Saccharomyces cerevisiae S288C: one gene and its partners. The protein of the gene in region 3 purifies or fractionates together with the protein of the main gene of each other region. This does not show direct contact. Each region holds a gene or a part of one and is shown on either strand. Other genes may lie near its edges. The genes, in order: TIF4631, NOP53, NOP13 and SPB1.

What was found.
Region 1: the proteins of NOP13 (region 3) and TIF4631 purify together in Saccharomyces cerevisiae (affinity purification with mass spectrometry; 2 studies listed by BioGRID). This does not show direct contact.
Region 2: the proteins of NOP13 (region 3) and NOP53 purify together in Saccharomyces cerevisiae (affinity purification with mass spectrometry; 2 studies listed by BioGRID). This does not show direct contact.
Region 4: the proteins of NOP13 (region 3) and SPB1 purify together in Saccharomyces cerevisiae (affinity purification with mass spectrometry, with the first as the bait; 2 studies listed by BioGRID). This does not show direct contact.

Annotation. Positions count from the first base shown.
Region 1 is NC_001139.9:818,680-827,417, forward strand, and holds TIF4631 (translation initiation factor eIF4G), read left to right. Parts: upstream 1-5,379; coding exon 5,380-8,238; downstream 8,239-8,738. Other genes in the region: YGR161C-C (gag protein), read right to left, coding at 3,014-4,336. UniProt on the Saccharomyces cerevisiae protein: Component of the eIF4F complex, which interacts with the mRNA cap structure and serves as an initial point of assembly for the translation apparatus.
Region 2 is NC_001148.4:272,929-279,225, reverse strand, and holds NOP53 (Nop53p), read left to right. Parts: upstream 1-1,696; coding exon 1,697-3,064; downstream 3,065-6,297. Other genes in the region: oxysterol-binding protein KES1, read left to right, coding at 1-831; ATP-binding cassette long-chain fatty acid transporter PXA1, read right to left, coding at 3,359-5,971. UniProt on the Saccharomyces cerevisiae protein: Late-acting factor in the nuclear maturation of 60S ribosomal subunits, which is required for normal acquisition of export competence. Required for the export of the large subunit.
Region 3 is NC_001146.8:303,139-310,573, reverse strand, and holds NOP13 (Nop13p), read left to right. Parts: upstream 1-1,961; coding exon 1,962-3,173; downstream 3,174-7,435. Other genes in the region: MDG1 (Mdg1p), read left to right, coding at 517-1,617; TDA7 (Tda7p), read left to right, coding at 3,594-5,504; mitochondrial 54S ribosomal protein uL22m MRPL22, read left to right, coding at 5,959-6,888; 40S ribosomal protein uS3 RPS3, read right to left, coding at 7,172-7,435.
Region 4 is NC_001135.5:29,833-38,331, forward strand, and holds SPB1 (27S pre-rRNA (guanosine2922-2'-O)-methyltransferase), read left to right. Parts: upstream 1-1,616; coding exon 1,617-4,142; downstream 4,143-8,499. Other genes in the region: RDT1 (Rdt1p), read left to right, coding at 1,078-1,164; PBN1 (Pbn1p), read right to left, coding at 4,311-5,561; LRE1 (Lre1p), read left to right, coding at 6,033-7,784; APA1 (bifunctional AP-4-A phosphorylase/ADP sulfurylase), read right to left, coding at 8,004-8,499. UniProt on the Saccharomyces cerevisiae protein: Required for proper assembly of pre-ribosomal particles during the biogenesis of the 60S ribosomal subunit. Specifically methylates the guanosine in position 2922 of the 25S rRNA at the stage of 27S pre-rRNA maturation.

The DNA of each region.
Region 1 (8,738 bases), on a different chromosome or scaffold from region 3:
TTTTGCTATAATTCTTTTATTCGAATTTAAGTCCTTGCTGAACAATATCATATCATCAACGAATAAGCAAATTGTTACTTGACTATTCTTAAATACGCATGACCATCCACGAACTTCTTCCATACCACACTGTTTTATCAGGTATGATTTGATAGTTTCGTACCAGTTCGCTCCACTTTGTTTCAATCCATAAAGTGATTTCTTCAAACGTATCAACTTATCATTCATTCCTAAATGTGGTGGAGGTCTTATGTATAATTCTTCTTTGATGTCTGCATACAAATATGCCGAAGATATGTCTAATTGTGTAATATAGTAGTTATTGTCTAATGCAAGTGACAGGGATGTCATTAATGCATAGTGATGTACGGTATTGGATTGCATGCCTGAGTCGTAAGTGTCAGGATGCTGAATATCACCTCTTGCAACAAATCTAGCTTTATGAGTACCGTCACGTTTCCTGTTGAAGATAAACATTGAATTTATTACTCTTTTAGGGTCTATTTCTTTTCTGTCATAATATTTGTCAGTGTCCCAAGTATTCATTTTCAATAGTTGGTTGACTTCTTTGTGGTATGCTTCGATATATTTTTCCTTTTCTTTAATATCTTTATTATAGGTGATTGCCTCATCGTATCTTAAGGTTGTCCGTATTGGTTTGATTGATTTTACTGCTTTTACAGCTGCAATCAGGTGAATTCGTTTCTTCGATCTCGGAGGTTCTAAACTACGCATATTCTTAGTATTCCATGTGTCTCGTGATACCTTAATTTCAGTTTCATTATCTTCTAATGATCTTTTCTTACTGTTGATAGTAGTATAGGCATTAGAGTCACCAATACCACCCAAACTGGAATTAGTTTGACGAGAATTGATCGGTGGAAGTTCTTTAAAGGAGTCTGATAATTCGGTAGGAGGTTCTGGAGGCAGATCGGGAAGTGGAAGATCAGCAATTATAGATTCCTCTGTATTCTCCTTAGGACAGGTATCTGACGTTTTGATAGGAACGACGTGGTGTAGTGAATTACTTTCTGATGAGGAAGTATCGATCGAAGGTGAACGGTGTATAATCCTTTTCTCAGTCTCCTGTTCGCTTGTCTGCGGAACAGTTTTATTATTGGTACCACCCGTACTGGATATTGGTACGTTTGTATGATTAGTCTCATTGTCACTGTACGAGTCTGAGTGTCTGAAATCTTTAGATTTACTGGCGTACGACGACTCATGTGTGTTAGATTGGGACATGGGAGCAAGTAAAGGAACATTTAATTTATGCATACCACCCGAACCGGTACTCTCGATATTGGAAATTTGGGGGGTGCTAGATCTCTTCTTTGATGGAAGAATATTAGATTCAGATATGTTGGGGTCAACTTCTCTGGGTGCGCGAATATTGGTTTTAGAAACACGTTTCGAATCTTCAGTATGAGTTGACGGAGGTGTGGAATCGGTTGGACTCACAGCTTTTGAAAGGACATTTCTCGGTTGCTCAGGATGTAGTTCAATGTCGGATTGGAAGTCATGGTCAGATTCTATGTTAAGATCATTGGATTCTTGGATCTCATTTGACGCAATGAACGAATGATATGAAGCAGTTAAACGGTTTAAGTCTTCATCGAAAGTGAGTGCGTCGTAATTGAATTGATCTAATCTGGATTCCTTGCCCTGAAGAATAACATAGTTAGTTGTATCTACTGTCTTCTTTAAGGATGGAAGATAGATGATATATCCATAAGAGTTTCGAGACGGATGTAGAGCGTAGCCTGGGATGCCACGAGGATGTATTTTGGAGTTAGGGTTGTGATCATTGACGATAACAGGTTGACCGAAAGGTAACAAAGTACTGATATCAAGTCCTGCCAAGCCAGCATGTTGTCTTGCAGATTTTTTGCTTTTAGGTGAAGCTAGTGAATTTCTCACAATAGTAGAAAATTCGATTGCAGAGAACCATAAATGGTTCGGTAAACCACTACATTGCAGTTGAGTACGGCAGTCATCTAATAAGGTACGGTTCAGCCGTTCAGCGACTCCATGTGCTCGGGAATCCGCTGTGGTTGTATAGCATGGAGTTATACCATTTTTTTCAAGGAATTTATGGAGAGTTCTGTTAGTATACTCAGAACCACGGTCCATTTGTATAACTAAGACACTGGCCTGAAACTGGTTTTTAATAAAAGCTAGTATCGTAGTAAAAACATCGAGGATAGAGTCCTCGCGACGGTCGTGTAATGGATAAACCCAACGGAATTTTGTTGTCTCATCAGTAAATGAGATGAAATAGGATGGTGCACTTTTTGGTAGGTTGTGAACTGGACCAAATATGTCAGTATGTAGGTATTGAAAGGGTTCGTATGAATTTTGGTATTTTAGTCGTGAACCTTTGATATGTCTGTGTTTGGTGCTTTTGCCGATTAAACAATCAGGACATTGATAGTCAATAGCACTAGACCAGTCGACATCTGATTCGTTAAAATACGTGATGGTGTTATTTTTAAGTGAGTATCGAATTGTCTGTGCATTGGCATGCGCAAGCATTCGATGAATGAAAGGATAAGGATATTTGCGTGTACTTTCACTTGTATGGACATTATTGATGGTGGGTACGGAGATATTTGATGGAAGCAAGTACTTTTTAGATACCCAGTAAAAGTCTCCATATTTCACGATAGGTGCAAGTACAGTGCCGTCAGACCGTTCTAAGACGTTTTTGGTAAAGCATGCTGTGATATCTACTGCAGCCAATTCATTCAAACTGAGTAAGTCATAGGCTATGTTAGGAGTGTGCAATACCTTTATTGATGTTTTGGTGTTGTCCTGGAAGTGAAATTGTAGGTCACCAATAGCGTTAATTGGTATATTTCTTTTTTGAGCATCAACTACGTTTATGTCAGGATTAGATGATGCTGAGTGTATGTGATGAGCAGATCTTATAAGGGTTCGTGATGCTCCTGAATCGAGAAGGAGGTGTCCAGGGAGTTCATCATCAGAATGATTAGTATGATTTACTGTAGATTCAGTAAGTTTCTGGCCTAAGATGAAGGTCGTGCTTATTGTTCAATTGAATCGGTTCAGTAGTTGATTTACTGATGGAATCGTTGTCCGTGCTGGGAGAGTTATTAGATGTGGATACATTGTGAGCCCTGGCTGTTTTCGATTTCGAATTATTTGTTTTTTGAGGATTCCGAGCTATAACTTTGGGTTTGGTTGTATTCGTATAGCTGCGAGAATCATTCTTCTCATCACTCGGATTTCTCCTGTAATTAGGTTTGCTGTTTCTCGATCCCTGTTGTTCTTCATAAATAGCATGGATATCTAAGAACAGTTCAGCGACTGTCATATTTAGATGTCGATGACGTGTGTAGCGTAAAAATTTATATTCGCCAGATAGACCTCTCATAATTAATTGGCATGCGACCTTGTTATTGATATGAATGCCATTATTGTTCAGTCTGTCGATAATGTTTGTGACTTTTGTTTCAAATGCATCTGCAGGTGTACTGCCATTATATTGCAAATTTGCCAGGGTCACAATGTCGTTTGCCTCTTGGGTATCAGATTGCATTTTTTCAATACTTTTGGAAAGAATTTTCATGATATCCGTATAATCAACGGATAGGATGTCTTTGACCCAGGTAGGTAGGAATTGAGAGGGAGCAAATATTTGAAAAGTGTTATACAAGAAGGTGAGTTCATCATCAGTGATCTGACGTACGGGTTTTCCGTTTACTGTCGGAATAATACCACCGAGATTCGAGTTTTGTAAAAATTTGATGTATGTTTTAACCCAATTTGGAAAGTCATTAGGTGAGGTTAACATTGGTGGTGGTCTGACATATTTTTTAGTGGATGTCATATCAGAGTCCGCTGAGGATGAATCAGTAAATGTATTACCTGACTCAGGTGATGGAGTGCTCAGAGGCGTTCCAACTGATGATGGATACTGCGGAAACTGTGATTGTGGCCCAGGTGGAAAGTACATAGGCGACATTTGATAAGGTGTATACGGAATCATAGATGGGTGTCCGTAAAATGACCAACCAGATGGATTGGCTTGGTTTTGGGTCATCATGCACTGCTGTGGGTACGGCCCATTCTGTGGAGGTGGTACTGAAGCAGGTTGAGGAGAGGCATGATGGGGGTTCTCTGGAACAGCTGATGAAGCAGGTGTTGTTGTCTGTTGAGAGTTAGCCTTAGTGGAAGCCTTATCATATTCTTGAATTTTGGAAGCTGAAACGTCTAACGGATCTTGATTTGTGTGGACTTCCTTAGAAGTAACCGAAGCACAGGCGCTACCATGAGATATATGTGGGTAATTAGATAATTGTTGGGATTCCATTGTTGATAAAGGCTATAATATTAGGTATACAGAATATACTAGAAGTTCTCCTCGAGGATATAGGAATCCTCAAAATGGAATCTATATTTCTACATACTAATATTACGATTATTCCTCATTCCGTTTTATATGTTTCATTATCCTATTACATTATCAATCCTTGCACTTCAGCTTCCTCTAACTTCGATGACAGCTTCTCATAACTTATGTCATCATCTTAACACCGTATATGATAATATATTGATAATATAACTATTAGTTGATAGACGATAGTGGATTTTTATTCCAACAAAATCCACATTCTCTTCATATATACATATATTGGTTGTTGTTACTACTTTAGCTTTTTTCCTCTGTTCGTTTCAAGATCTAGCTTGCAATTATCCCTCTAGGTAATAACCAGCATAGTTGTCGTCGTTTCATGTGACCTATTCCCCTTTAATTGGATCAATCTTCCAATAAGAGTGGTTTCGTGGTCTAGTCGGTTATGGCATCTGCTTAACACGCAGAACGTCCCCAGTTCGATCCTGGGCGAAATCATTTTTTGAAGATTACATTAATAAGGCTTTTTTCAATATCTCTGGAACAACAGTTTTTTTTTACTTACTAATAGCTTTAAGGACCCTCTTGGACATCATGATGGCAGACTTCCATCGTAATGGGATGATCATATGATGGGCGCTATCCTCATCGCGACTCGATAACGACGTGAGAAACGATTTTTTTTTTCTTTTTCACCGTATTTTTGTGCGTCCTTTTTCAATTATAGCTTTTTTTTTATTTTTTTTTTTTCTCGTACTGTTTCACTGACAAAAGTTTTTTTTTCAAGAAAAATTTTCGATGCCGCGTTCTCTGTGTGCAACGGATGGATGGTAGATGGAATTTCAATATGTTGCTTGAAATTTTACCAATCTTGATATTGTGATAATTTACTTAATTATGATTCTTCCTCTTCCCTTCAATTTCTTAAAGCTTCTTACTTTACTCCTTCTTGCTCATAAATAAGCAAGGTAAGAGGACAACTGTAATTACCTATTACAATAATGACAGACGAAACTGCTCACCCGACACAATCTGCTTCAAAGCAGGAATCTGCTGCTCTGAAACAGACAGGCGATGACCAGCAGGAATCTCAGCAACAACGTGGCTACACCAACTACAACAATGGTAGCAACTATACCCAAAAGAAGCCTTACAACAGCAACAGACCTCATCAGCAAAGAGGTGGTAAATTTGGACCAAACAGATATAACAACCGTGGCAACTATAATGGTGGCGGTAGTTTCAGAGGTGGACACATGGGAGCCAACAGCTCAAACGTGCCATGGACTGGTTACTATAATAACTACCCCGTTTACTACCAGCCCCAGCAAATGGCGGCCGCTGGTAGTGCCCCTGCTAATCCAATTCCTGTCGAAGAGAAGTCACCTGTTCCAACTAAGATAGAAATCACTACCAAGTCTGGTGAACACTTAGATTTGAAAGAACAGCATAAAGCCAAGCTACAGTCTCAGGAAAGATCTACTGTGTCTCCGCAACCAGAGTCAAAGTTAAAAGAAACTTCTGATTCTACTTCTACTTCTACTCCAACTCCTACCCCTTCCACTAATGACTCTAAGGCCAGTTCTGAAGAAAATATATCTGAAGCTGAAAAGACAAGAAGAAATTTCATCGAGCAAGTTAAACTTCGTAAAGCTGCTTTAGAAAAGAAGAGAAAGGAGCAACTTGAAGGTTCTAGTGGCAACAATAATATTCCAATGAAGACTACCCCAGAAAATGTGGAAGAGAAGGGATCGGACAAACCTGAGGTAACCGAAAAAACCAAGCCTGCTGAAGAAAAATCTGCTGAGCCAGAAGTTAAGCAAGAAACTCCAGCTGAAGAAGGTGAACAAGGAGAAAAGGGCCAAATAAAGGAAGAATCCACTCCAAAGGTGTTAACCTTTGCTGAACGTTTGAAGTTGAAGAAACAACAAAAAGAACGAGAAGAAAAAACGGAGGGGAAGGAAAACAAGGAAGTGCCAGTACAGGAAGAGACTAAGAGCGCCATCGAGTCTGCTCCTGTGCCTCCCAGTGAACAGGTTAAAGAAGAAACTGAGGTCGCCGAAACCGAACAGTCAAACATTGATGAATCTGCAACAACTCCGGCTATCCCTACTAAATCTGATGAAGCTGAAGCTGAAGTTGAGGCTGAAGCAGGTGATGCTGGAACAAAGATTGGACTTGAAGCTGAAATCGAAACTACAACTGATGAAACTGATGATGGTACAAACACCGTTTCTCACATATTGAATGTATTGAAAGATGCTACACCAATTGAAGATGTCTTTTCTTTTAACTATCCAGAAGGTATTGAAGGTCCTGATATCAAATACAAGAAAGAACACGTCAAATATACATATGGCCCAACTTTCTTGCTTCAATTTAAGGACAAACTAAACGTCAAAGCGGACGCCGAATGGGTCCAAAGCACTGCTTCTAAAATTGTCATTCCACCAGGAATGGGCAGAGGAAATAGATCTAGAGATTCTGGCAGATTCGGCAATAATTCTAGTCGTGGCCATGACTTTAGAAATACCTCAGTGAGAAATATGGATGACAGAGCTAATTCAAGAACTTCATCAAAGAGAAGATCAAAGAGAATGAATGACGACAGGAGATCTAATAGATCTTATACATCAAGAAGAGACCGCGAGAGAGGCTCCTACAGAAATGAAGAGAAAAGAGAGGACGATAAACCAAAGGAAGAAGTTGCTCCACTTGTTCCAAGTGCTAATAGGTGGGTGCCAAAATTCAAGTCTAAAAAGACTGAAAAGAAGCTAGCCCCTGACGGAAAGACCGAACTATTGGACAAGGATGAAGTTGAAAGAAAGATGAAGTCACTACTGAATAAACTTACTTTGGAAATGTTCGATGCTATTTCATCTGAAATTTTGGCTATTGCAAACATATCAGTATGGGAAACAAATGGTGAAACGTTAAAGGCTGTGATAGAACAGATTTTCTTAAAGGCCTGTGACGAACCCCATTGGTCTTCTATGTACGCGCAATTATGTGGTAAAGTAGTTAAAGAATTAAACCCAGATATAACAGATGAAACTAATGAAGGTAAGACAGGTCCAAAATTGGTTTTGCATTACTTGGTTGCTAGATGTCATGCCGAATTTGACAAGGGTTGGACCGATAAATTACCCACAAACGAAGATGGTACTCCATTAGAACCTGAGATGATGTCAGAAGAGTACTATGCAGCTGCTTCTGCTAAGAGAAGAGGTTTAGGTTTGGTTCGTTTCATCGGTTTCCTATACCGTCTGAATCTGTTGACTGGAAAGATGATGTTCGAATGTTTCCGTAGACTAATGAAGGATTTGACGGATTCTCCATCTGAAGAAACTCTAGAGTCCGTTGTTGAATTGTTAAATACTGTTGGTGAACAATTTGAGACCGATAGTTTCAGAACGGGTCAAGCAACATTGGAGGGTTCGCAATTGCTCGATAGTTTGTTCGGTATTTTAGACAATATTATTCAAACTGCTAAGATTTCTAGTAGAATCAAGTTCAAGTTGATCGACATTAAAGAATTAAGGCACGACAAGAACTGGAACAGTGATAAGAAGGACAACGGTCCTAAGACCATTCAACAGATTCATGAGGAAGAGGAGAGACAACGTCAATTGAAGAATAATTCAAGATCTAATTCAAGACGTACGAACAACTCCAGTAATAGACACTCTTTCAGAAGGGACGCTCCTCCTGCATCAAAAGATAGCTTTATCACAACCAGAACATATTCTCAAAGAAATAGCCAAAGGGCTCCTCCTCCAAAGGAAGAACCAGCTGCACCAACTTCTACCGCAACAAATATGTTCAGTGCATTAATGGGAGAAAGTGATGACGAAGAGTAACATGAATAGATCATGTTAAGTATCGAAAATGTCACTTGGATACAAGGATGTTGGTAGAAAGTCTAATAAAATAATAAATTAATAGTACAACACAAATTTAATCTTACGTTTAATCCTGCGCTATTAATTGAAAATATATGCATGGAGAAGAAAAAAAAAGTGTCCCTAATTTACCATTGTTATATTTTCTCGATTAATGGGCTCATTTCTTTTCACTAAAAGCTATAAACAAGTTTGATGCATTTTAATGGGTAATCCTCTTACTGTGCTTTTTTTTCCTATCTTGTTCTATATGTCAATGCCTTTCTGTATTTTTATTTATAGCTTCGCCAGTCTTCGTTTACGATATGTTTTATATAATAGACCACTCAGCATATGTATAGTTTTGTATATTTATATCATTTATTAGCTGACGGCTTTAACTTCATATTTCGATTTAATCATGCTACTGCTTCACCATTTGTCCTTTTTTTTACAGAGGCCACGAAAGGAAAGGACCG
Region 2 (6,297 bases), on a different chromosome or scaffold from region 3:
GTTAAGCTGCAAGGCTACAACCAAATTAAAGCCAGTTTCACTAAATCCTTAATGCTGACTGTTAAACAATTTGGTCACACTATGTTGGATATTAAGGATGAGAGTTATTTGGTTACCCCACCTCCATTGCATATTGAAGGTATTCTTGTCGCTTCTCCCTTTGTTGAATTGGAAGGAAAATCATATATCCAATCTTCGACAGGTCTACTTTGTGTTATTGAATTTTCAGGTAGAGGCTACTTTTCTGGTAAAAAGAATTCATTCAAGGCAAGAATTTACAAAGACTCTAAAGATAGCAAGGACAAGGAAAAGGCATTATACACAATATCAGGCCAATGGTCTGGCTCTTCTAAAATAATCAAGGCAAATAAGAAAGAAGAATCACGATTATTTTACGATGCTGCTAGAATCCCTGCTGAACATCTGAATGTCAAGCCTTTGGAGGAGCAACACCCACTGGAAAGTAGAAAAGCCTGGTACGACGTGGCTGGTGCCATCAAATTAGGCGATTTTAACTTAATTGCCAAAACGAAAACTGAATTGGAAGAAACGCAAAGAGAATTGAGAAAAGAGGAAGAAGCTAAAGGCATTAGCTGGCAAAGAAGATGGTTCAAAGATTTTGACTACTCTGTCACGCCCGAAGAAGGCGCCCTTGTACCTGAAAAGGATGACACTTTCTTAAAACTCGCCTCTGCTCTAAATTTATCAACGAAGAATGCTCCAAGTGGTACTTTGGTGGGTGACAAAGAAGACAGGAAGGAGGATCTTTCATCCATTCATTGGAGATTCCAAAGAGAGTTGTGGGACGAAGAAAAGGAAATTGTTTTGTAAGGAGAACGATAAAGTAACAACTTGTTACCGTTGCACTAATATATTATCTATCTTTTCTTCTTTTTCCTTCCTTTTTCTCTTCATGTGACAGGAAAGGATATGAAATCATTAGAGGAACTAAGAAATCATTTTTACCATCCCCTAAATCTTATATTGTTTTGTTCTCTTTTCACTATAATGACTAGAATTTATTCTTTCGAACCACAAGAATATGCTATATTGCTGTTAAAGATGAAGCAGAAAAAACCTTTATCTATTTCTACTTCTTCCTTTAATTATTGATAGACAGATCGCTCATTTTTTTCTCATGATGTCATATCCTTTTTAATCATCATACGAAGGTTAAAATTTGAAGTTTACCAAGTTTTCATGCAAGTTTTGTTATTATTTACAACCTATTACTATATTTTATCTTCTCTGTTGATATCCTCACTTTTGTCTTTTTTATAACTCTCTAATTTTCTTATGTCAATTTTGTAGAACCACATAATCGATGGAGTATATGCACTTATACAACACTTTCTATACAAAGTTTATGGTATATCCCAAAATCTGTACGCTTATCGAACCATAGGCCTGTTTTATCACTCCATAACAATGAAACACAAGAGGCTAACGCCAAGTACTAAAGTAATATTATCATAATATTGCGTATTACCTAACAGGTGTGCTCTGAGAGAATACAGTCATATTTGACGAAATTCTATAATTCCATCAAAAAATTTTCCGTGCCCGAGCTTTTTCACTTCTAAAAAAGAAAAGAGCAATAAAAATGCGATGGGGTCCTTACATTACAACTTATGCTATTAGTTCGGCTTTCTTGTGATCCATACCATCCTCACGTTAATGAATCATTTATTTAAAAATGGCTCCAACTAATCTAACCAAGAAACCATCTCAATACAAACAGTCTTCAAGAAAGGGTAAGAAAGCATGGAGAAAAAATATCGATTTATCTGACGTAGAACAATATATGGAAAAGAAAATTGATCATGAAATTACGCATGGTACCAGTGATATAACCTCTTTGCAAAATGATGCTCTTTTTCATGTTGATGTTGAGGGTGATGAGATATTGAAAAATAAATTAATTAAAAGGAAACAAATTAAGAAGGTTCTAAAAAGTAAAGAGATTTTAGACGCCGTTAAAACGAATTCAAAAATTGCAGCACTAAATCACCATAAGAATAGTAGTGGAAATCCTAATAAGATTCAAGGTGTTTCTAAACACGAATTAAAGAAATTAATGGCTTTGGCTGGCAGAGTACACGGCGAATCGAAGATCAAGAATAGAGTTGCCAAAGACGGTCTAGTTAAAACAACGGCTGGCGACTTATGGGGTGAAGAATCCAATTCAAAGAAACAGAAGGTCAAATTACCTTCCGGTATCAAACTTGATGTGGAAAAAAAGGACCAGATACCTGAAGAACTATTGAAAAAATCCACGACAAGTTGGTCTACTGCTTCAGTCAGACCAAGTACTTTAGATATAGAGCCAATTGCAGTAAAAGAATTCACAGAAATTCCACATGCTGGTAAATCCTACAATCCCAACAATAAAGCTTGGTCAGAATTGATAAACAAAGAGTATAAAGAGGAAAAGGCAAGAGAAGATGAAAGAATCGCCTTGGAAAAGTACAAAGAAAGAATTAGACATTTAATGGAAACTTTAGATGACAATGAAGAGGAAGAGTCTTCATCAAACGAAGAAGAAGAAGAAGAAGAAGAAGAAAATGAAAATGAAAATGAAAGTACGCAATGTAGTGGATCTGATAAGGAAATAAAACTATCAATAAATAAGCCTGTGAAGAATAAAAAGAAAACAAAATATCAAAGAAACAAGGCAAAGAGACATGAAGAGAAAGTAAAATTGCAACAAGAGTTGAAAGAATTGAGACAACGTGTTAAAGATTTAGAAGAAGTTATCAATTCTGAAGAGACTGAGATACTTTCAGCCATAGAGTCAGATAGCAACAAGGTTAAAAAAAGCAAGAAAAATAAGAAACACAAGTTAGGGACGAAATACTCTGTGATTGATGAAAGATTGGAGATTAAATTTTCTGACGAATTATCTGACTCATTGAGAAAACTGAAACCTGAAGGAAATCTGCTATATGATACTGTGAGAAAACTACAAAGTTCTGGTAAGGTCGAAACAAGAGTGCCCGTTAGGAAAGGTAGAAAGTATAAGCAGAAAATCACTGAAAAGTGGACACATAAGGACTTCAAATAGAGTTTTTTGTTTTACAGTATATGTTTCCATGAAAAGGTTGTCCTTGATACGTGGATTCATCAAGTGAGATATATATATATATGTTCATATTTGTGTTGGCAAGACCAACAACTGTATAGTAGGTAACAAATTGTTTCATTTTCTTTTCGTTCTCTGCCCTTTTCTAGTTTGAGAGGGCATTCCCATGTCGATATCTCTAGATATCAGTTAAACATTCAAAAGTACAAATTCAGTTACGGAAATAATATATAAATTATATTCGCTAAATAAAATCTCTCCCTTTCTAGGGTGTTTTCAAATAATTTCAAGCTTTTCCCGTAGCTTCGTCCTCTCATCTTCCCAACCTTTTACTCTTTCTAGTTTTCTCTCCAATTCCTCAATCTCGTTGTCAATCGACGTGATTGCTTCATCGGTACCAACTGCCTGTAATTGCCATTTGCCATCTCGATTTTCACCGATCTCTAGTAACATTTCATGATATTTGATTAATGTGGGTCTTTGTGATATGGAAATGAAATTGAATCTGTATCGTTTTAAAAGATTGAACAGATAGTCTTCCATGTCAACACTAATTGCGTTTGTAGCCTCATCTAATACTACGTATAGTGGTTTATGAAACATGATTCTAGCAAAATTTACTCTTTGCTTTTCACCACCACTTAATAAGTCCTTCCAATCGGCAATGGCATCTAGGTAAGTTAAGCCAACGCCTCTTTTTAAAAGATAATCTAGTTTCACTTCGACTAATATCTGTACTAGCTCCTTATCTCTAAACCCCCTATCAAAGAATTCATCCGAGGACATGGGGTATATAATTTGGTCTCTTAAAGTTCCACCTCTACTAAAATATGGTTTCTGAGGAATAAAAAAAATATTATTTTCTGAAGGAATCGACAATAATCCATTTTTGTTATACACTGGCCATATTTCAGCTATAATGCGTTGAATTGAACTTTTACCGCAACCATTTGGCCCTAATATTAACAGGCTGGAGCCAGAACCCTGCAAAAATGGTAACTTTATATCATTTGCCTTCGATAAGTCTTGTATAGAATTGGACTTTGAAGTTATTGGGTCAATATGCAAAGGAATTTGAAATGTAAGCTTGTTAATCAGCTTTATGCCTTCGCTCGCCCTTACTGATGGAATGATTACGTCTATATTTTCTAACCGAATACCGTTAAAATTGCGTTGAATAGTACCACGAATAGCATCTTGCGAATTATCCGTGGTGGGTAATAAGTTGGAATTTCTGGAAGCGTCTTCTGTACGTATTGACAGGATTGAAGGAACAGCGCCGTAATTAAAGTTCAGAGAGTGAACCCTGTGTAAGACGGAAAGCAGAGTAAATATCCTATTAGTGTAGCCGGTCAATTGTGAGATGTCCTTTATCGAATGCATCAATCTCGAGCCTGCATCTGCAAGCGACAACATCAACCTTTTGTTGACTATAAATTCCTTCATATTTTTTTCCTCTGAATTGATGCCTGTCGCTAAGGTAGACATAACGATAGGGATTGAGGCAAAAACATAACCCAAACCGGACCATGTATATTTTAAAACATAGTCTTCCAACATATTGTAACCAAACTTGACTTTATCAACCAGCAGCATTTTTTCCATCAGCACATCATACAACTCTTTAACTTTCGTCCTTTCCACTGCTGTTCCTTGGTAAAATGCGATCTCTTCGCTATTATTTATCATGTTTAGATGATAATTGTAGTAATCGCCGTCTGAAGCAGATCTCTCGCCTGCCAATTTACCTAATGGTGGCGTGTATTTCCTCAAAATAAACCCAGTAATGAAATAATTAACAAATATACCTGCTACTCCCACAGTTCCCAAATTATCACGTAAATAAACCGAAAAGAATATTAAATCAATAACTGGCTTTGCAATGTTTGCAAAAACGGAGCATGTCGCATCGCAAAATTTTGCAACATCATTAGTAATGGAGTTGTCGATATTCTTGATTACCGAATTGGACGCCTTTGCATCAAAAATTAATTTGTAAAATGTTAGTCTTTTATCCAAATACATGTCATGGATGTAACGTGTCAAATTTACCCTAAAGTTTAAACTCAACTTCCTTTGAAGTAGCTTAATAGCACTATTAGTATAAGAAGCAGGGACAGCAATTAAAAACCAACACCCTAAGTCCCACAGAAAGCTTCTTCCTCTACCAGCAATTATATTTTTGACTATTTGTCCATCCAGCTTGGCTACAAACAAAGAGAGCCAAGTTCTCATCACCAGGAAAAAAATTTGAGCAGTTAAAAGAAGAAAGTTTTTGTCAAAAACTGTTGGAATTAAAATTTTAGACAAGACGTTCATTTGGTTTAAAAATTTTGAGTAGAATAACTGCGAATTCTTGGCTCTTTCCAGTTCTACATTTTTAAAAAGAAACTTATCGTGTTCATATACATCGTTATCCTTTGGTGGAATAAATATCCTTTTCCTTTTTTTTTTATCTGTAGCATTCATAAATTTGTTGTCATCGGGACTCTGGCGGTCGACTAATTCCACTTCAGGAATATACATTATTCTTGCACCACTGTCTAATTGCATTTGAGATCTTGTTCTTCTTATTAAAGGTCTCCTATTCCTTCTCTTCCATGGAAACTTGTAAAATTTATAACATTTTAGAATAATTTTGAAAGTACTATATGTTACACCAGAAAAAAGTGTGACACCAGATAGGAAAAGCGATACCAATAAAATCTGGGCCCTTCTTCTTAGCTTAGGATGAGCAGCGTTTGATCTAGATATCTGTAGAAGATGCCGTATCAATAACTTGAAATATACTTTAGGTGTGACATCGTTAACGTGTAGCCCAATACAGTGAGTATGTAGATTCAGGAGCAAACTCTTTAGTTTCGCTGGTGCTGCTAATGTTGTTGACATTTCTGTGTTATGCGTTCTAAGACTTCCAGATTGTCTGAAACGGGTTTCATTGTTAGTCTCACTTCTTAGAGAAGCATTCTTATATATCTTGACTCTAAAAGGGCTGAAAATAACCGCCGAAATTAAAAATTGGGGTAAAAAAGGGTAACGAAACTTATGCGGTTAAGCCCGATCAACATATAGCTGAATATTGCGTCAAGAATAATTTCTTAATCGGGATTATTTCCGAAGGAAGAAATTCTATTGAAAAAAAAATCTTAACATCAAAACTGCTTATATACATTCCACAGGTTCAAGCGGTCATAAGAGATCTGACTTTTGATAGA
Region 3 (7,435 bases):
ATTATCGATAAGCAATATTCTAGCTCACTTTGTCACCGTGAATTTGTCAGCAAGCACCAAAAATGTCGATGCTTTCAATGACTATTACGTATCTTCTCTACTTTTGTGCAAATGTAAATACTAAATGAAAGCCCTATTTTGTGTAGGGTTTACACCGCACAAAGTAAAAAGAAGCGATAAAAATGAAAAAAAGTAGTCAAAATACATACTATCAAAGTAAGGGCATTGGTGAAATACTGCGAGGCTGGCCTTTTCCGCAAATATCTGGGGCAGCGAAGCGAAGGGGCCCGATAGGAACTTTTGGGGCGGGAGCCCTTGCATTGACATGGTTAAGGTTTTACATCCATCATTCTCCCCCTCTCTTGTGGTTTAAAAAAATAAAAGGTGGCCGATTTTTATGTAATATAGAAACGACTTCTGTCCTTCTGTCCTCTGTATTACCTAATTTTCTTTCTCTTGATGGTATTTAACTTTCTAAGCATTATAAGATAATATTAAAGGGAAAGTGTTTCTAGAATGCAATCGAGCTTACCTCAATTTACGTTCAAATGGCCCAAAGGACCCGAAGCAATTATTCTGACAGGCACGTTCGACGACTGGAAAGGTACTTTGCCGATGGTGAAGGACCCCAGTGGCGCCTTCGAAATAACGCTGCCAGTAACGTTTGATAGCCCTAGCAGCAAGTTTTATTTCAAGTTTATTGTTGATGGCCAATGGCTGCCAAGCAAAGACTACAAGGTGAACATCGACGAGGGAGTGGAAAACAACTTTATTACCGAGGAAGACGTAATAAAGCAACGCGAAAATGGCTCTAGCACGCTGGTACCTGAAAGTGCCGGATTAGCTGTTTCAAAGAATGCCCCTCTTATCGAACCAGAAGCTGAAAAACGTGCAAAAAAATTAAGAAAGTTCAAGATCAAGAGAGTGATCAAGACAAATAAACAAACCGGAGAAAGGTCGATATTTTCCCAAGAAGTGGTTGAATTGCCCGATAGCGAGGATGAAACCCAGCAGGTGAACAAAACGGGCAAGAATGCGGATGGCTTAAGCGGTACTACAACGATAATTGAGAATAATGTTGGTGTAAACGAGGAAAAAGCAATCAAGCCGTATGAAGAGAATCACCCCAAAGTTAATCTAGTTAAGAGTGAAGGATATGTTACGGACGGTTTGGGTAAGACGCAATCTTCTGAGTCTAGATTATATGAACTATCGGCCGAAGATCTTGAAAAGGAAGAAGAGGAAGAGGACGAAGATAAAGGCGGCGGTAAGGACACCAGTACAAGTGCAGACGCTGAAGCTTCAGAAGATCAAAATAAGGAACCATTAAGTAAATCCGCTAAATTTGAAAAACCGGAAGAAAAAGTACCTGTAAGCTCAATTACAAGCCATGCTAAAGAGACTTCTGTGAAACCAACCGGCAAGGTTGCGACTGAGACTCAAACTTACGAGACGAAACAGGGCGCTCCTACCGCTGCCGCAAAAAAAATCGAAGCTAAGAAAGCTACTAGACCTTCGAAACCTAAGGGCACGAAAGAAACACCAAATAAAGGTGTCCAAAAGAACCCTGCTAAGAATGGAGGGTTCTTTAAAAAGTTGGCCCAGCTTTTGAAGTGAAAACAATCAGGAGAATACCTAAATATATGACGTACTCGCCATACCTAACTATGTAAAACCTAATTATGTATTAATAACAATACCATGTTGTATGTAAACTCTGATGTAGGATCGCACTTTTGCCGAAAGCACATGCTTGTCTTTGTATTTCGCTTGTACGCCTTTGCTCAGAAAATTCTGTAGGAGTCACGTTTCCCGTTGAAATGCAAAAACCTGAAATTTTTCAGTCTGAAAGAAAAAATTGCGATGAGCATAGATGATAAATTTAACCATACAACAAAGAGAAATCCTTTTCCCCACAGAACATTACCTAAACCCAACAACTTTCTATAATTTGAGATAGAATGTCAGAAACAGAACTGTCGAAAGAAGATGCTGTTACAAAAAAGGATAACGAGGAACAAGTCAAGAAGGCTTTACTCGATCCAACAAAAAAGAGAAAAGCTGAAGATGAAATTGAGATTGACCTGAAAAGCTCCATTCCCCTATCAAAAAAACAGAAACGTCTCTTGAGAAGAGGTAAAGTTACTCTAGAGGAGTTGAATGCGAAGTACAATATCGACCCTAAGTCAATCGAGGAATACAAAGAAGATGCTGAAAAGAAAAAGTCTGGTGCTTCTGAGAAAGACGCCCAGGGTGAAGAATCTACAATCAACACTCCAACAGGAGATGAATCTGGCGAGGTTGTAAAAAAGAAGAAGAAAGATGAAAATAAATATGGTGTTTGGATTGGTAACTTATCCTTCGACACCACAAAGGACGATTTAGTAAGATTTTTTATTGCTAAAACAAAAGACAACGAAGATGAAAAGAGCAGAGTCACCGAACAAGACATAACCAGGTTATCCATGCCTCGTGTTGCTGCCAAGAACTCTAACGCCATGAAAAATAAGGGATTTTGCTACATGTTTTTCAAGAACGTCGAGCAGATGAAAGCGGTCTTAGAATTATCTGAATCTCATTTAAACGGAAGGAATATGCTAATCAAGGACTCCGAAAATTATTCAGGTAGGCCAGACAAGGACGATTTAGTTGCCATGTCCAAAAATCCACCGTCAAGGATTCTATTTGTCGGTAATTTGTCATTCGATGTCACAGATGATCTGTTAAGAAAACACTTCCAACATTGTGGTGATATCGTGAAAATCCGCATGGCAACATTCGAAGATAGTGGTAAATGTAAAGGATTCGCATTTATCGACTTCAAGAATGAAGAAGGATCTACTAATGCATTAAAGGATAAAAGTTGTAGAAAAATTGCCGGAAGGCCATTGCGAATGGAATACGGTGAAGATAGAAGTAAAAGACAAGTTCGTAAGAAGGTTGAAAATGTATCCAGAAACAATTCCTCATCATTTGATATCTCTAACAACAAAGGATACGATCGTGCGGGACAGGATAACGGCAGCAAACCCGAATACAAGCGGTCCAACGCCAACAGACGTCCACCTGTAGATTCCAATAACCGAACTAAGAGCAGTGTAGCTTTAGCCACTGCTCAGAGAGGTTCTGCAGCTATTGTCCCATCACAAGGTAAGAAAGTGAAGTTTGACTAATCAGCGTGAACTGACTGTAGGTGCCACGTATATAATGCGATTATTTCGCTTGTAAATTATTCAATCATTCATGTTTTATATATACATTGTATAACCAATTGCTGCTATTTTTATTTTTTCCATTATTGCTTATCAAGGCACGGGGAGAACGCACGGAAAAAAAAAAAAAAAAGAAGAAAGAAATGAGGTAAACAAGATCTTTAGGAGCGGTTCGCATATTAGTAATACACTGATAATCGCCGTACACTCATAAAATCCTAAACTACTCACCAGGTACCGAAACACTACTGATCCGTTTTTTGGACTGGTTGTTGGCACACTTTCGCTTAAGACACACATTTAGTATTTCAATCCCCATCCGTCGATATCTGAAGGAAATCTAAAAGAAAAGCTGGATAGAGTAATTATTTTGGCCATCGTATGAACTCCAATAGTACCATCGGAAGGACCACCCTTGGAGAATCTGATACGATATCCCTGTCATTCAGTGAACCAAGTAGCAGTCTGAATTCACGATCAACGGATGTTGTCTTCGCATCTACTTCAACTTTAGTACCCCAACAAGGAAGTCTGACCTCATTACCGCCCGTGTCTAGTACAGCTACTCCTACATATTATTCTACAAGCTTAACATATGATGAGACTTTGCATACATCCATTGATGTATCTTCGACAAGTACTTTAGTATCATCTACCGACAGCAGTTCATCGAGCGAGCAAGATACGTATAGTTCCCAATATGACCCAGCTACCTCCTCATACTCAATAATTACACCATCCATGTCCATTTTCTCATCGACGTCACCAATGTCATCATCGTCGTCAATAACGTCGGAATGGTCATCGTTAACATCAACAACACCAACGTTATCGTCATCAGCTACATCGCTGTCATCATCATGGTCGTCGTTATCATCACCATCTTCGTTACTGGTATCGTCCTCGTTGTCATTATCACTATCTTCATCATATTCAGACACTAAATTGTTTTCGTTCGACAGCAGATCTTCTATTTTCTCACCATCAACACCCACCGTAATATCCCCTAGTTACACATACTTGTCTTCCATATCTGCAACTTCATTTCAAATTAGTACCACTTCAGAACTCTCTTCTAGTTGGTTCTCAACAATTTCTTCTCCTTCTACGATATCAAATAAAGATACCACATTCCCAAGTTCCAGTCGGAATACTTCCACATCGTTTTACAGTTCATCGCTTTCATCGACGAACGATTTTTCAACCATAAGCAAATCATCGAAACTCAGTCCATCAGCTTCATCTTCGACAGTTTCCATAAGCACGATTTCCGTGCCAACGTCAAGTTCTGTTAGCTCATCCAGCAGTAAAGTACCTTCAAACCGTCCTTCATCATCATCATCATCAGATGATACAACAAGTGCTTACTCAAGCACGTATACTTTTCAGTCCTTACAATCTACTACTAGCAGCAGTATACCACCCACCACTCAAACACCCAGCACTAGTACGATTTCTACGTCTCCCATACCAACATCCAGTCAGGTCTTCAATACGGTAGCCATTTCAAGCTCCGAAGATTCAAAAACTATTTATTATTTCTATACCCAAACATATGATATTACTGACTCCTCTACAACGTTCGTGACGGGATTACCTACGACCATAGCAGTTGCAAAAAGTGAGGTAACCTCATTTTCCGCTCCATCTTCGACGATCACAGCTGACATGTCTTTCTATCAGCACTGGCTTGATGGCAGTTTGGATAATAACAAAAACCAAGGCACTTCAAAGACAAATACTGGTACCATTGTTGGAAGTGTGGTAGGAAGCGTCGGTGGTATTCTTATATGTGTACTAGTAGTTTGGTTCATGCTGGTTAGAAAAAGGAAGGCAAAGAGGCATTTCAAGGAAAACGATTCCTTCTGTCACGAGATTGGGCGCAGAACGGGATTCCCAACAACTGCCCAAGCAAAAGAGGCGTCACTTCAAGCTCAAGACTCGGGATCACAGCAACGAAACACCGAGACTGCTTCTGCTAATAATCCGTTCAGCAACGAATTCAATTTTAAGGCAAGAGGAAATCCTCCTCCAGTGCCACCACCAAGGAATGTTACCGCAATGAATGGCTCCTTTCAAAATATGCGGAGTAATTTCATGGACCAGGAAAACAGATTTTCCTATGGCTCTTCATTTACATATTCGTCATTGGGTTCATCTACTCAAGGTGGCTTTTCTACTTTATCTTCAAATTCGATACGACTCGGACGTGGTTTAGATAATGACATCTCTCATGATGAGAGAAATACAGTTCAGAACAATTCACAAGGGTTCTTGAGGGAAATTATATGACGATGACTTCAGTCTATTAGTATGATGTTTACTAATTAAGCAAAATCAGCTCTTGCTGAATAACACTACTATTAAAAATCATAAAAACATCTTTATTGCCAATAGTGAAGAACGACAAGGCCTTTTAAAAGGCATAAAAAACAATGATACCATTCTGCAATGAAAAAAAAAGAAAACTTTGTTCTTTGTGTATAAAGAAAATATTTTAGTTCTCCTAAATAAATAAATACTAAATTATACGAAACTCTTTCAGTCTTTTCTCCTGCTTGCTGCTTGAACAGTACTCATGATATTCTATTAATCTTCTGTGGGCGGGGTAACTAAGCCTTCACTGTACTCGGGATTTTGAATAAAAGTCAACTATCCAATCTGGAAGGCATTTTAACATACGCCATTAGGAGCCGCATAGCAAGTCAGAGAACCTCACCTCACCCTATCTTTTTTATTAAAGAAAATGAACTTCCACACGGCAAGAATATCTCAGGTCGGTGTCATTTCTAGGGCTCTACTTTCTTCTGTAAGTAGACGTTGGATTCATGTAACGCCAATAAGTCTTAATAATTCAGGAGGATCACTATTCGGAAGCATTACAGAAAATAAACCAAAGGAAGGAAAAAACAGGGGGGATGAAGATGCAGGCAGCTTCTCTAATAGGTTAGCGATTGCTTCTGATTCTTCTGGAGAGGCTCCTGAAGTTAATAGGGATTCAATAACCATAGAAAACGATAAACTACTACAGCAACATATCATATCGTTGCAGCAACCGGAACAATTAGCATCACAGAGCTTATTATCTCCTTTGAAAAGGGAAATATATGAAGCTAATTGTAAAATTAATGGTGGGTTTTACAAGAAAGATACTATTGTAAAGTTACCAAATTCTAGCGAACGTTACAAGCTAAAGTTAACAAAAAGAGAAATTGAAGTACTAGAACCTTCCGTATATGCTCAGTCATATAGAATTAAATCGTCGATGAAAAAGGCTACACTTTTGTTGAGGTTATTGGGAGGCCTCGACGTTATGAAAGCTATATCTCAGTGTCACTTTTCTAATAAGAAAATTGCTCGCGAAGTAGCAGAACTACTTCAAAAAGGTGTAAAAGATGGCCAAAAATTAGGTTTGAAACCAGAGGACTTATATATCTCTCAGATTTGGACAGGGAGTGACGGGTTTTGGAGAAAACGTGTTGAATTCAAGGCAAGGACAAGAATCGGAATCATAAGTCATCCTTACATACATGTCAGATGTATTCTGAGAACAAAGAGTGTTACGAAACGAAGACTTGCTTATGAAGCACATTTAAAAGAGCAAAAAAGAGCGCCATGGGTACAGTTGGGAGATAAGCCCATTAGGGGTGTTACAGGCGGCGTATACAAGTGGTGAAAACGATAGCGAACTCATTCATATCCGAGAAATCGTCCTGTAAGCTGAGAAAGATGAACTGCTACTCACTTCTTAACCTATATTCACAGTTGTGTTGTACAAAACTTTTCTTTTGATTATATAATATTGTGATTCTGTAAATAACAACTAGTTTCAACGCACTGCTTCAACGTGCACCCTCCTGACTAAACACGGCAATATGCAAGAAACCGCAACAATTAAGTGCACTAGAATAGAAGAAATTATTGTACTTATAGTTTATTTATGTATTTAATAATTAAATCTAAGCTTCAACTGGTTCAGCTTGAGCTTCAGTTTCTTCAGCTGGTCTGTAGTCCTTGACAGATGGAGCAAGAATTGGTTCTTCTTCTTTTGGTTCAATGATGGTGACAGCATCTGGCAAAGCCTTTGGACCAGTTCTGCTCTTAGCTGGGTCTCTCATAATCTTAACCTTGATACCCAAAACACCTTGTCTCATCAAGACGTGTCTAGTAGCAGTGTCAATGAAGTCGTTGACTGGTTGACCAGAGTGAATCAAGAAACCGTC
Region 4 (8,499 bases), on a different chromosome or scaffold from region 3:
AATTATCCAATTCCAAATTCTAGGGACGGTTTCCAAAGATTTGTATTGTCCAGTGACATAATTTTCACTAAAACATTGATCTGTTTAATAGGTTTGCTATAAATGCACAATAATTTTTCACCCATGATACCCAATTTCAAGAGAAGCAATTGCTACATATAATTATTTAGGCTTTACTATCTACTACTCATTGACTGTGCCCTTTTACACAATTATAACAAATATGTCAAAGCAGATGCCATGAACTTTGTATCTGAATTTTTGATTTCCTTTTAATTCTAATTGCAGACGACGTAAATATAGTTCTGAATTTCAAAGTCACTGTTAATTAATTGTTCTAATTGTTTGGTTTTTTTAATATAAATCACTAGTGCTTAAGTTCTGTTGACGCACACAGTACCTATCTTTGATTCCTTCGTGCAAACAGTATTCCGGCACGTTAATTGATACCAAAAAGATTTCAAAATCAGATGCTTCAAGACTAATTGTATACTTTATGTGACTTCTGGAGTTTAATTTGTTGTATTGATGAGATAATATTGTCTATTATATTGCCAATAACAACCAGCGCCAGGTGTACTAAGTCGAGATGACAGAAAATTTATAATAAGTGTAAATACAATAAATTTTGTAAATAAATAACTACTTCAATAGAAATCTCAAAGTCGAAGAAACACAGAACACAGAATGAAACTGGACTAAATGATTTTCAATAAAGGAAAAGCACGAAAAATTTTTTGAACTTTTTTGGGACAGCGTGGATCGTGTAATTACTGTATTGGGAAATTTACACGATTCTCGACAAATAAAGAAAAAGGCGCGTTTAAAGACTTACAAGCACACCTTTGAATTATTTTTGTTCTCTATGATTATCAAATGTGCTAGTGTTTGCAAGATGGTGCTTTTTTTTCTTTAGATTGCCACGTTTCTGCTCCTCTTTGTGGTTTTCTTTTTTTTTTTCAATCTTACTTATAAAATGAATATTTCAATTGATGAATAGCTATATATTGGATACAAAAATTAGCATTTAATCGAAAACTGCAGCATGTATTTAATCGAAAACTACAGCATGTAGCTATGATACGACAGAAGATTTTTGTTTTTATAGTTAAGTCAAGAAGAAATTCTATTTGTCCAGCAATCCGGCGCAAAGAAGACTACTAAAGGGTATTGAAAAATTTCTAGAACCAGAAATAATCGAAAGCATTACTTTTTTTGGCTCTATAAAGGAGTTCTGGACAGCTTGAACTTCCGAAGTCTGTCTGTTTAGCTCGTTAAGATAAATCTCAAAAGAGTAGCAAGCAGGTGGGAGGGATAATTTGGATTAAAGTGTATATATTGCGTATATATAGCCACGTAAACCTCACACTATTGAGTTTAAACATTTTTCACCTTACGTTATTATTCTTTTGTCTAATTTTAATCTCCTCCAGTATACTAAAACCGCAAAAGCGGGTTACCCAGCTTGTTTCTTTTTGTCTGAAAAATTTTTTGCGATGCCCATTATGAAAAATTGGCAATAATAGTATAGTAGTTAGTTTAAGTTTAGATTCTTTCAATACTCATTCTGCTTCAGTTTGTAGTTAGATTTAACTCAATAGAGGTGATTGGCAAAAATGGGTAAGACACAAAAGAAGAATAGTAAGGGACGTTTAGATAGATACTATTATCTAGCAAAGGAGAAAGGTTATCGTGCTCGTTCATCCTTTAAGATTATTCAGATTAATGAAAAGTATGGCCACTTCTTAGAAAAATCGAAGGTTGTTATTGATCTGTGTGCTGCTCCTGGTTCATGGTGTCAAGTTGCATCCAAACTCTGTCCTGTCAACTCCTTAATTATTGGTGTTGATATTGTTCCAATGAAGCCGATGCCCAATGTTATAACTTTTCAAAGTGATATTACAACAGAAGATTGTAGATCAAAATTGAGGGGTTATATGAAGACTTGGAAAGCTGATACAGTGTTGCATGATGGTGCTCCTAATGTTGGTTTGGGTTGGGTTCAGGATGCTTTCACCCAATCTCAATTAACCTTACAAGCTTTGAAGTTGGCCGTCGAAAATTTGGTGGTGAACGGTACTTTTGTTACTAAAATTTTCAGATCCAAGGATTATAATAAATTGATTTGGGTTTTCCAACAATTGTTTGAGAAAGTTGAAGCCACAAAACCACCCGCATCAAGAAATGTTTCTGCAGAAATTTTTGTAGTGTGTAAAGGTTTCAAGGCACCAAAGAGGCTGGACCCAAGATTACTGGATCCAAAAGAAGTTTTTGAAGAATTGCCAGATGGGCAACAGAATATGGAGTCCAAGATTTATAATCCCGAAAAAAAAGTTAGAAAAAGACAAGGTTATGAGGAAGGTGATAATTTACTGTATCATGAAACCTCAATTTTGGATTTTGTCAGGACGGAAGACCCAATAAGCATGCTTGGAGAAATGAATAAGTTTACAATTGATGAGAATGACCATGAATGGAAGATCTTGAAGAAATTGAAACAAACCACAGACGAGTTCCGTTCCTGTATTGAAGATTTAAAAGTCTTGGGTAAAAAGGATTTTAAAATGATCCTAAGATGGAGAAAGATTGCAAGGGAAATCTTGGGCATCGAAGTTAAGGACGACGCTAAAACAGAAATTGAAGTAGTACCGTTAACAGAAGAGGAGCAAATTGAAAAAGATTTGCAAGGTTTACAGGAGAAGCAGCGTCTAAATGTCAAGCGCGAAAGAAGAAGGAAGAACGAAATGAAGCAAAAGGAACTACAGAGAATGCAAATGAACATGATAACCCCCACTGATATTGGTATTGAAGCCGCAAGTTTGGGTAAAGAATCGTTGTTTAATTTGAAAACTGCAGAAAAGACTGGTATCTTGAACGACTTGGCGAAGGGTAAGAAAAGAATGATTTTTACAGACGATGAATTAGCCAAAGATAATGATATTTACATTGATGAAAACATCATGATCAAAGATAAGGATTCTGCCGCTGATGCGGACGATTTAGAAAGCGAGTTGAATGCCATGTATAGTGATTATAAAACTAGAAGGTCGGAAAGGGATGCCAAGTTTAGAGCTAAGCAAGCACGTGGTGGCGATAATGAGGAAGAATGGACCGGTTTTAATGAGGGAAGTCTAGAAAAGAAAGAAGAGGAAGGTAAAGATTATATCGAAGACAATGACGATGAAGGTGTCGAAGGAGACTCCGATGATGATGAAGCCATCACCAATTTGATTAGCAAATTGAAGGGACAAGAAGGTGATCACAAATTGAGTAGTAAGGCACGTATGATTTTCAATGATCCGATATTTAATAACGTTGAACCTGATTTGCCAGTAAATACCGTCAATGATGGCATAATGAGTTCCGAGTCTGTTGGTGATATTTCTAAATTAAATAAGAAAAGAAAACATGAAGAAATGCACCAGAAACAAGATGAAGCAGATTCTTCGGATGAGAGTTCAAGTGATGACTCCGATTTCGAAATTGTGGCCAACGATAATGCATCAGAAGAATTCGATTCTGATTATGATTCAGAGGAAGAAAAAAATCAAACAAAGAAAGAAAAGCATTCCAGAGACATTGATATTGCTACTGTTGAAGCCATGACTTTGGCACATCAGTTAGCATTGGGTCAGAAAAACAAGCATGATCTTGTTGATGAAGGTTTCAATAGATACACCTTCCGTGACACCGAAAATTTGCCAGATTGGTTTTTAGAAGATGAAAAGGAACATTCAAAGATAAATAAGCCGATTACTAAGGAGGCAGCGATGGCAATTAAAGAAAAAATAAAGGCAATGAACGCCCGTCCTATTAAGAAGGTTGCTGAAGCTAAGGCAAGAAAGAGGATGCGTGCCGTAGCTCGGTTAGAAAAGATCAAGAAGAAGGCGGGCTTGATTAACGATGATTCAGACAAGACAGAGAAGGACAAGGCTGAAGAAATTTCTAGATTGATGCGTAAGGTTACCAAAAAACCAAAGACCAAGCCAAAGGTTACTTTGGTTGTTGCCTCAGGTAGGAACAAAGGTTTGGCAGGTAGACCAAAGGGCGTTAAGGGTAAGTATAAGATGGTTGATGGTGTCATGAAGAATGAACAAAGAGCCCTAAGACGTATCGCAAAGAAGCATCACAAGAAAAAGTAGTAACAAAGAGCATTATTTTTCCATTCCCTTGTATAATATTGAAAATAAAGGAAAAGAAAGCAATAGATATATTATGTATACATAGAATTAATCAAATTATCATCAAAAAACTTATAGGAAACCTATCGTTTTGAATTCAGAAAATACGAGTGCACAGTAGAACAATTTTTATTCCCGTTTTACTGATCTTTTCTTCTTGTTGTTACCAAATACCTTGGAGAAAATGTATATGATGGAGATGAGTAAGCATAGTAACGTACCATTTTTGATCTTGGAATAATCCTTTGTGTCAGGCCTTGGAATTGGTACTAGAAGAGTTGTCGAGTTCAAATGGCGGAATGTAGTATCGTCTGTAAAGAGAGATTCATATCCTAGACCTTTTTTATAAAATGGATTACGGGAAACTTTATTGTCACCTGTGTCGCAGGCTAATATAACTTCTGGATCAAATGAAACTTCTAATTTATCCCCTTTATTATTAGAAGGCTCAATATATCTAGTATGCAATGTCACTTCATTCATTGTGCCGGCTTTCAATTCAAAGATACTTTCAGAACCCCATGCCTTATCTCGAAGAGAGTATTCTGGTAATTCTAAGTCGTCTTCTCCAAAAAGTAGTAAGGGAGAGGATTGGAATTTATCGATAAATAATTCTAACGGCAATTGCAGGTGCATTAGATACATGCATTTAGGGCGTTCTTCGAAATCTGTGAGATCAATCATGATTTTTGGATGCAAACCGATAGGTTCATTCAGATATAGTGATGTCGTAGTCGTCGAGTGATTGTATGCGATATGGCCCTGTTTATACAATAAGGATGTTTTCTGACATCTTTCCATTTTACCATCGTCCATCCTCCAATTACAACGTATTCCACCAATATCGACATCACTTTCATCACTTGCATCCACAAAGAATACACCTACTTCGAGTTTCTCATCTTTCACTCTTGCAATTGTAAATTCTTCACCCTGTTTCAACAGACGATATTCAACAATTTGGATTTGTGTGGGCTCCACTGATATATCATATGTAAAATCTTCTGGATTCCATGACAGATTCAAATCTACTTCGGGAGGCAAGTACTGCTCTATGTCAAACTTCTCACTGTGAAATGAATTGTAGACTGGGTTAGTAATAAACCTTTCCGGCACATCCGAAGAATTTGAGTAAACTGAAAAGCCAGCACTCAGTTCATTTTCTATAACGCTTAAACTTCTAGCCAAGTCCGCTCTGGGCCTCCAAGTGATTCTCGTAAAGGATTTATCCAAGCTTCCAGTCCTCTCTAATAGCCACCTTTGTTGTAAAACCACACCAGAACCTCCACGAACAGTCAAATGAGTGTCATTTTGGCGCATATGATTACCGATATCCTCAGGGGCATTGTAGAGTACAGTCACTCTATGTCTTGTCACCATTACTCAGCTAGAAACGCACACTTCTTGCGTTTATTCTCCTCCCGATTTGATTATGATTAGCGTTTCCATTATTTGATCTTTTTTATCAGGGGGATCTTCAAAGAAAGGAACTTTTTTTAGGAAAAAAAAAATAATCATCTTTTATTACATGTGTAATACTTCAAGCAATCATAAACAAGAGTTAAGAAGGCAAAGTTCTGCTGTTAGTGTGTCCTCCAATACTCTTGCACGACAAAGTTTTAGTTATCCCCTTCTACGTGTATTGTTCCTCCGTGGTCGATTGTGTTCAAAGATTGGGAGCTCTTTTCGTGTTTTGCACTAAGAGCATACTGTTAATCCGCAAAGGCCACTAAAACTTACCTGCATTTGTCTACTTAAAGATACATTCCAACTATTTACATTCATTTTTATTTCTAAAAGAGCATTCTGAACCCTCGGCAATTATTTCATACTCCTTCTCAGAATAGGAAAATGCCCAATACGCATACTCAACATGTGCAAATATCAGAGCCAAATCCTGTAAATACTTTGTCTACACCATCCAAAAGAGGTCACCGCCATCGCAGATCGCTAGCAATATCAGGAGATTTTGATTTTTTGAAACAGCCTGCAGCAATTGTGAATTTACCACCTCCACAGGCGGCTGAAAATTGTCCTTCAACTGCCCCAACTGCTGTATCAAGTACATTATCGCCAATACGCTACAATAGATTTCCTTGCAAAACCAATGAAGACGCTGGAACGTTAGATTTGCCTGAACCAAGATTTTATCCGTTATCACCAAAGAACAATCTGCAAACACCAAGTCCACGATTTTTCATTAGTGAAGAGCCAAGTTTTTCATCGCCAGTTAAAGGCGTCCCAGATGCCATTATTAACCTTGACGATGCGTTGAAGACAAGGCCTAGGTCATTTAAATCACATAGAAGATCTGAATCCGCTCCTCCTGATTTGGAGGTTATGGTAGATAAGGGCAATTGTGCAGCCGGTTCTAACTCTATGATTAAAGAAGAAGAGGACTCCTTAATTGAACCAGAATCGAAAAATGAATATTATGAGCAAAAGCTTCCAACAGCACTATTATCCCCACTGCGGCCTTCCCTTTGTGTATCTGAACAGGCCATTGATGTAGATGATTCAGCTCTCAATGGGTCACCGACCCATCACAACCATGGGATGCAAAACGCCAATGCACGGAATTCCAACACATTCAATTCGTTGAAGATCAAAGGCCAAAAGCAAAGATATTATCATTATACGAAGCAGCTACCTTTGACCGTAGGCTGTGACTCGCAATCTCCAAAAGAACAAAGGTCGGCTGCTTCAATGACAATCAATCAGGCAATGACACCTTCTTCCCTGGCCTATACCCCTTCTAAACTAGCATCTACTCCCGCAACACCAGTATCCTTTTATGACAGCAATGCGGACATTAACTTAGAAAGTGATAATTTTCCACTAAAAGATAACCCTAGATATGCCAAGGATGGTTATCCTAAAAAGTGCGGCAATTCACAGCTTAATCGTGTGCTGGATAGCGATAAAAGACAGGATTTTAGTGGAGAATCGAGAAGAAGAAGATCGGGCAGTCCTATCTCCCACATGCAACACCGCAACCTGATTGATAATATGAAAGGTAGACGAAACAGTAACACGATAAACTCAATCTTCAACTACAAGAGTCAACATTATGAAATGCCATATGATGATATGATGAAAAATGAAAACATTAATGCACAGTCCATGCCCTTTTCAGTCAACGGTGTCAACAATGAAAATAGTATCGGAGGGGTTATTACGAGAGCGGACGATGCACCCCTTCAACACTCTGTGGTCAAATCCTGTACGCCTGATGGCAAGGAAGAAATGAATAGGCTTAAAAGTAATGACAGTAATGAATATTCCAAGTCTGAAGGGCAGATCAGAACCAATTCGCAACTAAGTAAGGACATTCTCATGGGTGAACCAGGTGATATGGTTGATCTGTCCTCTTTTGTCAACGCGCAGAGAAAAGCCTCAAATGAAACTGGTGACTTAGTCTTTAGTTTATCCCAGGATGATGACGCACTGAAAACGTTCCATGCGAGCAACAGCGCAGCAACAAGCAATGAAAGCTGGTGTATTAGCGATGATGCGTTAGGAAAGCAGGCGCAGGACAGTGAAGTTAGGAGGAAAAGAAAATCCAAATTAGGACTCTTTAGACATATTTTTTCAAGGAAGTAATACAACAATATTAATAATAAGTAATAAAAAGGTGAATCGTAACCTTAACGGCATTGATTGCATGTAGTTTTAATAATAAAGTGTAGAATAATAAATATAAAATTTCAAAGTCATCAGAAATAAAAATTGAATAGACATATACATATAGAAATTACTTCTATCATTTAAATACATATATATACATACATGTATACGTGTATACTTGTACTTGTGAAGGACTCAATAGTTGTATTCGTTTGGTTTTTGACCAGAAGTGTTTGGGAAACCACATTCCAATAAGATATCGTTAATCAATTCAGGTTTTTCAGTAATCTTGGAGAAAACTTCATCATTTTTGGTTAAGATCATACCACAATAACCTGTGGAGTTGAAACCTATCTTCATTTCATCAGAAAAGGCCTTCGAGCGTGGAACGACACAGATCCATTCCTTGGTTAACATAAGATTGTAGGATTTCTTTAGTTCTGGATTTTCGTTCAACCAGTCCTGGAAAAAGGTCAAAGCTCTTTGCAATATGGAGATGTAACACATAGCTAATAGGTCTTCATCAACAGTTTCTTCAGACTCCGGCATTGGCAAGACAAAATGAGCGAACGAGACTTTAGCATCTTGCAAAGGTTCAGTATTGAAAGTTGGTAGGAAATGTTCTTTACCATTACATAGTCTATCTTGGAAAGTGACGAACTTTTCAGGCATTTGCAGAATTTGCAAATGT